2 linked regions of the Tribolium castaneum genome follow. The protein of the gene in region 2 interacts with the protein of the main gene of each other region in a pairwise test. Links are inferred from orthologs where the notes say so. Each region holds a gene or a part of one and is shown on either strand. Other genes may lie near its edges.

Region 1 (4,660 bases), on a different chromosome or scaffold from region 2:
TAGACGATTCATTCAGGAGTTGGGATTTGACAAACTGGCTGACGTAAAAATCTATTGTGATAACCAGAGTGCAATACGTCTTGCTGAGAATCCTGTTTTTCATGCGAGAAGTAAACACATAGATGTCCGTCACCATTTTGTACGCGAAGTTTTGAGAGACAAGCAAGTATCTCTCGAGCATATCTCTACAGAACAGCAAGTGGCTGATTTCCTAACTAAAGGACTCGCTAAACAAAAACATATTTGGAGTGTAAATGCAGCGGGACTACAAGTTATCAATAGTTAGGATAGTTGCCAGAAGTTTTAGTGGAAGGATGAATTTTTTTTTTTTGGAAGTATTCATTCTAACGACACACGACTCGAGGGGAAGTGTTGGACATCTAAGTTTCACGAGTCGCGTTTCGTTTCCGTGTGAACCACAGTTTTGTTTATAAGAGTGTGCCGTGTATATTTTTATCAATTCCGTCATTTTGTATTTCGATTTACTTTCATATTAAATATACTTTTATTAGAAGTCTCAAGTATCTTATCCCGAAGTTCCAACATTAAGTCAGAAACACACTTAGGTCGAGTTGTATAAAAAATTTCAGGATTAAACCCATAGCCATTGTTATGAGAATAATTGTTAGGGATTTAAATCAGGACTAAAGATGATACAACTCGACCTTAGAAATGTAATCACATTTTTTTTAAGCCAAAGATACAAAATTCAAAATATAACATTATATTTTGAATTTTGTATATATAACATTATATTTTGAATTTTGTATAATCTATTTTCAACTATCAACATCATTTAAACAAGGATAAGATTATAAAGCAATAATAGATAAAGGAGAATTACCAAAGTTTCAATAAGTTTATTTCTCAATTTGAAATCTGAATGTGATAATTAGAACGTAAGAGTTTCAAGGAGATGAACCATTTTTTGATAATGAATAATGTGTTTTCCACTGTCAATGTAAGTCCTAGAGATTTTCTTTTTGCAAGAACGTTTAATTTATTACTAATAATATAAATATTAATATATTATTCTTCAAAATATTTACAACTTTTAGATGCAAAGTATAAGACTGAATATTTATTTTCATTGAGTTTTAAGTTAACATTACTGCAATGTTTGGCTATTCTTTTTAGATCATTGTTTATTTGATTCCATTCAGTATCATGGTAATCGATTTTGTTTGAAAAATAAATAAATAAAAATTAGTATAAAACGCGAAGAGGAGGAATGCAGTACAGAATTACAGACGAAACCGCTTTTTTTTCAAATTGAAAGCCGTTTGGTTTTTAAAAACCCGTGAAAATTTAACTCAATTCAATGTTACTACTGCATTTTTGTCTCTATTTTTTTTAAACTTATTTTGACATAAGTTATAATACGGAAGCTTTAATACATTATATTTAACAATAATCACTAGACTAGTAAAAAAACGATTGATGGACTTATCTCATTATTGCACTGAATAAATGTCCACAAATTTTCGGTGTTATAACAACTGTTACTGTTTAATGACATTAAAATAAATCAATCGATTACAAAACCAGTTATTGCATTTGAAAGAGAAAATTTTATAGCATACGTTTCTATATTTTTCTCAAAAAGACTAAAACTGGAGTTATTTCGTTAAAACATCGAACACCCCAATTAAAAAAAGGATTGGGCCCAAAACTGAGCACTGGGGTACACCTGAAGTTATGTGTTTCGCTTATTCGTTACAACTTATTGATACCGGTCTTGTAAGTATCAAGAGAATAATAAAACTGCATTTTCATCAAACCCATAGAAAACTTTTTGCAAAGAAGATTGTGATCTCTAGTATGTTATCAAAATCTAATGAAACTATAATGCTGCTTCAACAGTAGATTGGCTAACAATATTGTGTAATTTTCAATGTAAGAAATATTTTCAATACTAGAAAAATTTAATACAAGAAAAACCAAACTTACATCAGCGAAGTTCATTCTATTGGCATGTTTCCTGAACTCAGTCATCGCATATCTCTCTTTCATTTTGCGGACTCTTTTCCCGCCCCTTTTCTTCTTGGACTGGTCGATAGGTTTCGGCAGCGGCTTGATAAACTTAACTGGGGGTGGTTCCAACAACTTGTCCAGTTTTCGTTCAATTTCGTCGCGTAATTGCCGCCCAATACGTCCGTCTTTACTCTCATGACACGAGTCCACACGTGCTGCTAGCGTGCATTTAGTGGCAACAAGTCTGGCAGCCTTCCTTCTCAAATCAGGCGGAGTATTTTGCACGATATCTGCGTAATAAACGAAACCAGTGTGCGGCAACATATTCACTTGTGAAAATCCAGACAATGCCTTCTTCTGTTGGCCCAACAATTGCACGTTACAGGCCGGAATTTTGGACAATCGGGTCAAACCCCCGGCAACCCCCATGAGCTTGGCGGCGATCGAAGCCCCAAGAATCGCCGACAAGTTGGGGGCGATGAAAGCCATCCGACTCTCAACGTATTCGTAAATTTTCAGTTTGAAGTTGTTCAAGTCTATGGCCATGTCGCAAGCTTCGTCGATTTGTTTCTTTTCGACGTCCGTTAGGAGAATCCCCTGTGTCGTGGATGCCGTGACTGAGACAACCATGATAGTTGCCTGCGTTAGGAATTGTTGCAAAATTTCATTATTTTTGGCTTGGTCTAAGTCATTCCCGAGCTCTTTGACGGTCTTCAAGTACTCCAAAGGACCAACAACAAGGGAGTCCAACTCGGGGAACCGCTTCTGGTACTTGTCGCGCACAAATTTATGGACAGTGGCTTCAATAAAACAGATTAGTTTCAACTGATTTGGTTAAAATCGTAACTCTTACCAATTTCCGCGTCTATATCTGCAGCAATGTTGTTAGCTTCGACGATCAGTTGATACTCAGGGTCCAACTCAACTGGTCCTATGATGTCGTGGTATTTTCGGCTCTTCTTCACATGGTCTTCGATTTGTTTCAATATTTCATGTAAATGGGGCGAGTCCCGTAATTTACACAACTCTCGGACTGAAGTTATTTGAGTTGTGTCTACCTCTAACTGGATGTCTTTAACGTCGGGTTTTTCTTCTTTGATGTCCGGTTTTTCATCAACTTCCATCGCTTCTTCCAAATCATCTTGATCGTTTTCTTCCAAATCAGCCAATAATTCGTCGGCCAAAGACATTTTAGCGAGTTAAAAACGTAACTCCAAAACGTTCACACAACACTTGGAAGTGAGGTTAGAAAAATGCAGTTTACAAATTGACAAGTGTCCATAGATTACTTGTAATGTGGGGCTGAATTACTGGTTGTCTATAATAATCTGCTTATTAATTTGGGGATAATGAAAAAAAACAATATAATTATTAATTAGTGAAGGGACGGAATATAGTCCGTGAAAGAGTACTTTTCCGGACACATATATCACTAAAAAAACAGTTGTTATTGTAGTTTCAAGCCATGTTATTTAAATAAAAAAAACTTTTTTTTTATTTTAGTCAACTTTTTGGTAAAAACTATAACTATAAGAACATAAGAGCAAACTTGCTTCGCCAAAAGCTCTTTTAAATACCATTTTAAATTAGAATATTAAGATAGTTGTTTTTAAAAATAAACAAAAATAAATGGAAAAAAGCATACAAATAAAAATAAAAAGGAGTCAGAGGACGCCAAAGCACCAACTAATTTTAATAAAACCGGATTGAATAAAACTGTATGCCGAAGAAAAGAAATAAAACTTTTTGACTACAAACGAACACCTTATATTCATCTTAACGAAGTTGTGGTAGATGACAGAAATATTTAAAAAATTTACTTTCTTATTAAATTTTGGATCAAGTTGTGTCTTCTTTTTAAAAACGATGCATTTGTATTTGTGAATAACTTCAATTTTTTAAGAAGATTTAGACAGCAAAAAATTGTAAAGACTTACACGTAAAGCTTAAAAATGGTTTCCGATTTATTTAACGGAATTAACGCTTTAAGATTCATTTTTTAGAAAATAATTGCAAAAACCCACAAAATATATTAGAAAATCTTTTAATAAATAATTTAATTCCTATTCATTACCCGTTTTCTATTCAACAGGGAAGCGATCATTTTTAAAATTAAAAATTATTTGGCATCTACGATAGTTCAATGCTTCAAATCGAAGCAATTTATCTGTTATCTTATTATAATAAACTACCAACCGACTTTTTAAAATTCTGATCTAGTTATCCATGACAGATACGTCATCAATGAAACATTTTGCATAAATAACTTTAGCATCGCTTTATTTGTCAATATGTCTAAAATGTTCACCGAAGAACCAAAAAAAATATGTTGGAATCTTATTTCCGTAATGGAGATCGGGTTAACGTAACTGTCACGGATAACTAGACCAATATTTTAGAAAATCACACAGTATTAATTTGTTTGAATATAAAGTTACAGTATAGTTACACAATTTGTAAATTTGGGTTAAAAAAGTACAGTTTTTTAAAAAACTCTTCAGGTTTTGGGATATACGAAAATGTTTATTATGTCATTTTAATACATACATTTTATGTCAAACTTAAAATTCTTCTAATAAATAAATATTTGTTCCTTTATTTATTGAACCTAGTCAGTAATCAGTTAATCACAATCACCACAAATCTCTATTACTTCTTAATTTGAATAAGTATAGAAATGTAAAAT
Region 2 (4,660 bases):
TTTCTCAAAAAAAAAACTCAGAATTAACTTCAAACAATTGTTGACTTACTTCAAAAATATAAAAATCACTCATTTCTCAACCAAAGTTGATAGTTTTTCAGCTTATTTTTGAAGTTTTGAAACAAATCAAATAAAGCTTTATCAAAATCTTGCAAAATGAAGTTAAAAATAACATAAATTTGTCCAACTTTCGTGTTATCGAAATTAATCCAAAAAGCTAGGTTTTGACGTCAAAAAACATACTTAAACCCAAAAAACAACAATAAGACAATTTTCGGCCAATCTTGGTTATTTTACGGTATACTTTAACGAAATTTTGCGAAATAATTGCATTTTTGGATGGAAAATGTGCAAAAGCACCCGAAAATTTTCTAGCAAAATCTAGCCAAAAATTTAAGTTTAACAACAATTTTGGCCAAAATTTAAAATCGAGCAAAATAAGCTAAATGAAGTCAATTTCATTTCTTTAATTACTAGTCTAATTTCGTAATTTTTCAGCTTGAAATGAAAAGGGTGACAACATTAATATCAAATAAAGAAATAGTATATTAAAAAACAAGTTTCATAAGACCAGTCTTTAAGCACGAATTTTCAAAAATGAGTGCTTCAAGGCCTTATGAAAATGAAACGAGTATTTTATACTGTTTTGTAATTTGGCCCCTCTTTGCCGTTTTTTAACAGAAATTGTTTAAATAATGTGTTTAAATAAGTGCTCTAAAATGTATGAGTATTGAGTAATAATGGAAGTAAAAGCTTTTTTAGCAAGTATTTGCTTTGACGTCGAGGTTTTTTTCAAAACAAAGTGAATGAAATAAAGCAAATACTTTTTTTATTGAGCATTTATTTCAAAACATGCTGTTAGTATTAGCATCAACAATTTTCGATGACAAATTACTTGTACCAAATTTCATGAAACTCGATTATTCCAATTAAGTTACTAAAATAAAAAAAACGATTTTTTTTTAATTTGACGCCCTCTAACTTTTAAACGGTGCAACTTGGTATAGAAATAAGTTGGCCTAAATCGCTCTATTTTAAGACAGGGAATCTATGGTTCACTGTTGTGAACTGTTCACTGTTCACTGTTGTGAACATCTTTTCGTTACACCCTGTATAGAAAAGTTGTTTTATTTGATGAGTTTTTTTATGTGGTAAAATTCACACACGTATTTTTGATACACCCTGTATTAATAGGCGAAAATTGTGGATTTGAACAATGCAGGGAGAATCTTGAATCTTCTCCCTCCACGCTTTAAACTTAAAGGGGCATTAATTTTTAATTCGACGTTTTAGCAATTTAGTGCGAACTTACAAAATTTGTGGAAGCGTATGCTTTACCGACGAAACACACTAACTGTTGCAAGAGCTTTTGTAGAAAATTTCATTTCGAGTTAATAGGACAGATAAAGGTACTGAATTTTTACCATGTACGAGAACCAAAGTTTGCAAAATTTTAAACATAACTCATTTGAAATCTACGCTTATTATGATGAGTTAAGGAGCTATCGAGAAAAAACATAAAAATCTTGGTGCATTTTTAATAATTTTAACCAAAAACAAAAGTTCCAATTAATAACTTCTGGATACCATTTCGGGTTTTCCTTTTAATACAACAGTTTATTCCGAAACTAAATACACTCCCTTTGAATTAGTTTTTAGGAAAAAATATAACTTACCTCATTTAACCAATGAGATTGTGCCTTTGTATAATTTTAATGGTTATGTGCTAAAAATGAAGTATAAACTGCAAAGAACTGCATGACGCTCATAAAAATCTCGTATCTAGGAAAATAAACTATGATAAAAGTGTTAATCCAACGATTTAGTGTTAATAAAAAACGAAACAGGTGAGAAGTTAAGTGCAATTTTCATCAATGGACCATTCAAAGTGATAGAAGACTTATCTCCAAATGTAAAGATTTTAAAAAACGATAAAGAAATAATTGTTCATAAAAATCGAATAAAAGGATAAGAATAGGTATATTTTACATACTAAACATTTAATTTAATGCTTCTTTAAATTCGTTTATGAAAGTGGCCCTAAGACCTTGTGAAACAGAGTTTATGACAAAGTCGATTAAATTTAAATCAAGATTTAAATGTGTTTATGAAATCGGCCCTTTTAGGGTAAAAATAAGTTAAAAACAATTTATTAATTATTATTTTTGTTTACCTTTTTCTTTGGAATGCTTGCGGATTTTTCTGGCCCGTAGGCCCCAATAGCCCCCCGGCCCTTCCTCAAGTGGGCCTCCACCGGGGCTGAAATCCCTTGTAAGTCTTTCCCTAGCCCCTTCCCCGGTTGAAAACCCATCTGTAATAGAAGCTTTGCCCCAATCCCCTTTGTGTGTTTTTCCCAATTTCCCACCCCTTGCATAGGTTGCGAGTGAGTTTTGTTACGTAGGCCTGCAATGTCCCCACTTTCTTGGACCCCACCGAACCCTGAAATATTCAAATTGGAAAAAGTTTGATATTTTGTGCCCCCACCTGGCCTTGGACGTTCATCCTCTGAATCACTTGAGCTATCCTTAAGTTTAAAACTCGTCGTTGGTTTTTCCTCATCACTTTCGTCTTCTTTTTTAACATTTTCGGGTTTTTTACCCGCTTGTTGGACACCCCCCGCAACAAAACCAATCGGGGCGGAATAATTTTTAGGTTTTCGTGATTTAAACGAAGGTCGCTCTTCTTCGTCATTATCACTGTCGTCTGCCCATATACCTACACGGAACTAGTCGTTAATTTGGGTTTGTTCCACCTAAATGGGTAGATAGTAGATGTGGAGTCAAGTTGTTACCATAAATCTGCTGGTGTTTGCTTAACTTTTTTCTACCACGGTAAAACTCATTGTTTAAATCGTAATCCGTTATTTCGAACTTTTCCATCTCGTCGTCCGACATTTTCACACGTTTTTTCACACTTTTACAACAAATTAATCGATTTCGGGTGGCAAAAAAGCAGAGGTTATGTTTTGCGTCAGGTCGCTTTGCGATAGCGCCCTCTGTCGAGAAAAAGCTCCCCACAAGTGGGATTCTACTACGATTATTTAAATAACAATTATTAAGGTACGTTACGTTTGTAATCGTTTATGAAGCTGTAATGTTTACGTTACGGAGGAGTTTATATCGGGAGACAAAACAAGATAGAAAATCGCACGATTTTCTGTACCCAAAAAATATAGTACGACAGAGAAAAATGAGGGCGCTTCCAGAGTTATTCGGCCATAGATACAAGCGCCAAAACGTTTTAAATTAATTTTAATTTAACCAAATCACTTATTACTTGGAAAAAATGCGGAAATGTAGGGCTTTACATTCGTAATAGATTGAGAAAAACTGATGACTAAAATTTATACAAAAAACAAGAAAAAGAATTTATTTCACATTTTCTTCCATTTTTTTCATTACACAATGAACATGGTTAAAGGTACAAGAAAATTGTTAGGAATAAAGTATAGAGAATTTATTTTTTTTAATGGTCGGGACAATATCACTATTTTTAACCGCTTAGGCCCTAAAGAAGTATAAAGAATAAAGATGCTGAAGGCACGGTTTTTCATTTTACCACTGGTCAGGTGGGGAAAATTAATTTACACCTTAATTTACCCATTGAAAATATGTGCGGACTTAAATAGGAAATTTAATTCTCTACACCCTTACATTTTTCTTTACATTTTTTTATATTTTCCACTGTATTCGTAGCGTTTTGATAAAAACACAAACTAGTAATAGTATTTTTTTATTTTTTTTGGATAAACTGTTTGGATCATCTTTATTCCTATGTATTAAGTTTTTAATTTAAAACTTCTACTTTTAGCTTGCAATTCTTGCAGATGAACAATACTTTAATAATTTCTGTAAAATTAAGCCCTATTAACTTTCGTTTAGAACTACCAGAACTACTTTGAAATATTTCTATATCTCCAAAATAAAACTTGTAGTTATTATAAAATATTTAATATTTATAGGATGGGTTTATGGAAGCGTCATTAAGTTAATTTGCAATTAAATGCGTGATTAACTGTTCATGTGATCAAATTGAACAAATTTGATTGGTCGATTCGCGTTGTTAACTTTTAACAACAAATTAAATTTTAACAAGGCTTTCTATAAACTGTATTGTATTACCGACTTTAACTGATTTGTCTGACTTTAAAATAAGACGTTCATTTAATTGTCTATTTTTCTTTATATTCTACAATGTTAAAGCATTCCAAATAAACCTGCTTATAAGAGGAATTTTTCAAAATTGCTTTTGATTAAATTAGCAAGTAGGTTCATTAGTTTCACCTTGCTTTTTGCAAGGCTAATGCATAACTTTAATAAGACAGAAGTGATGTACAGAAGAATTTACTCAAATATCAACACATCAACAAATAATACACCGGCTTAGGAAAATTTCATGGAGAAAAGAGAAAATTTGTTACAACTCACTCAACATGTCGCTGAGAAACTTGATGAAAGTGGCAGAAACTTACTCTGAAACGGGATGGAGCAACTAGTGCTGCTAAGGATATTTAATGTCAATTCTTTAGAATTCTTTAGTTATCTTAACTATTGCATTATTATATAAATTACTGAATAGAAAGATAAAATTCATTAATTTAGTAAATAAGATAATTTTTCTTAGCATTAACTCACGGTATTCCATGATTGTTTATTTTATC

Evidence for each region.
Region 1: the proteins of sip1 (region 2) and Prp31 interact in binary tests that used the Homo sapiens proteins (3 or more experiments, as listed by UniProt). The link is inferred for Tribolium castaneum from reciprocal best matches to the Homo sapiens genes TFIP11 and PRPF31.

The regions. Positions count from the first base shown.
Region 1 is NC_087395.1:18,107,393-18,112,052, reverse strand, and holds the start of Prp31 (U4/U6 small nuclear ribonucleoprotein Prp31), read right to left. Parts: upstream 3,260-4,660; 5' UTR 3,165-3,259; coding exon 2,828-3,164; intron 2,775-2,827; coding exon 1,951-2,774; intron 1-1,950. UniProt on the Homo sapiens protein: Involved in pre-mRNA splicing as component of the spliceosome. Required for the assembly of the U4/U5/U6 tri-snRNP complex, one of the building blocks of the spliceosome.
Region 2 is NC_087402.1:11,583,296-11,587,955, reverse strand, and holds the start of sip1 (sip1/TFIP11 interacting protein), read right to left. Parts: upstream 3,006-4,660; 5' UTR 2,895-3,005; coding exon 2,792-2,894; intron 2,716-2,791; coding exon 2,485-2,715; coding exon of another isoform or gene 2,440-2,484; coding exon 2,174-2,439; intron 1-2,173. UniProt on the Homo sapiens protein: Involved in pre-mRNA splicing, specifically in spliceosome disassembly during late-stage splicing events. Intron turnover seems to proceed through reactions in two lariat-intron associated complexes termed Intron Large (IL) and Intron Small (IS).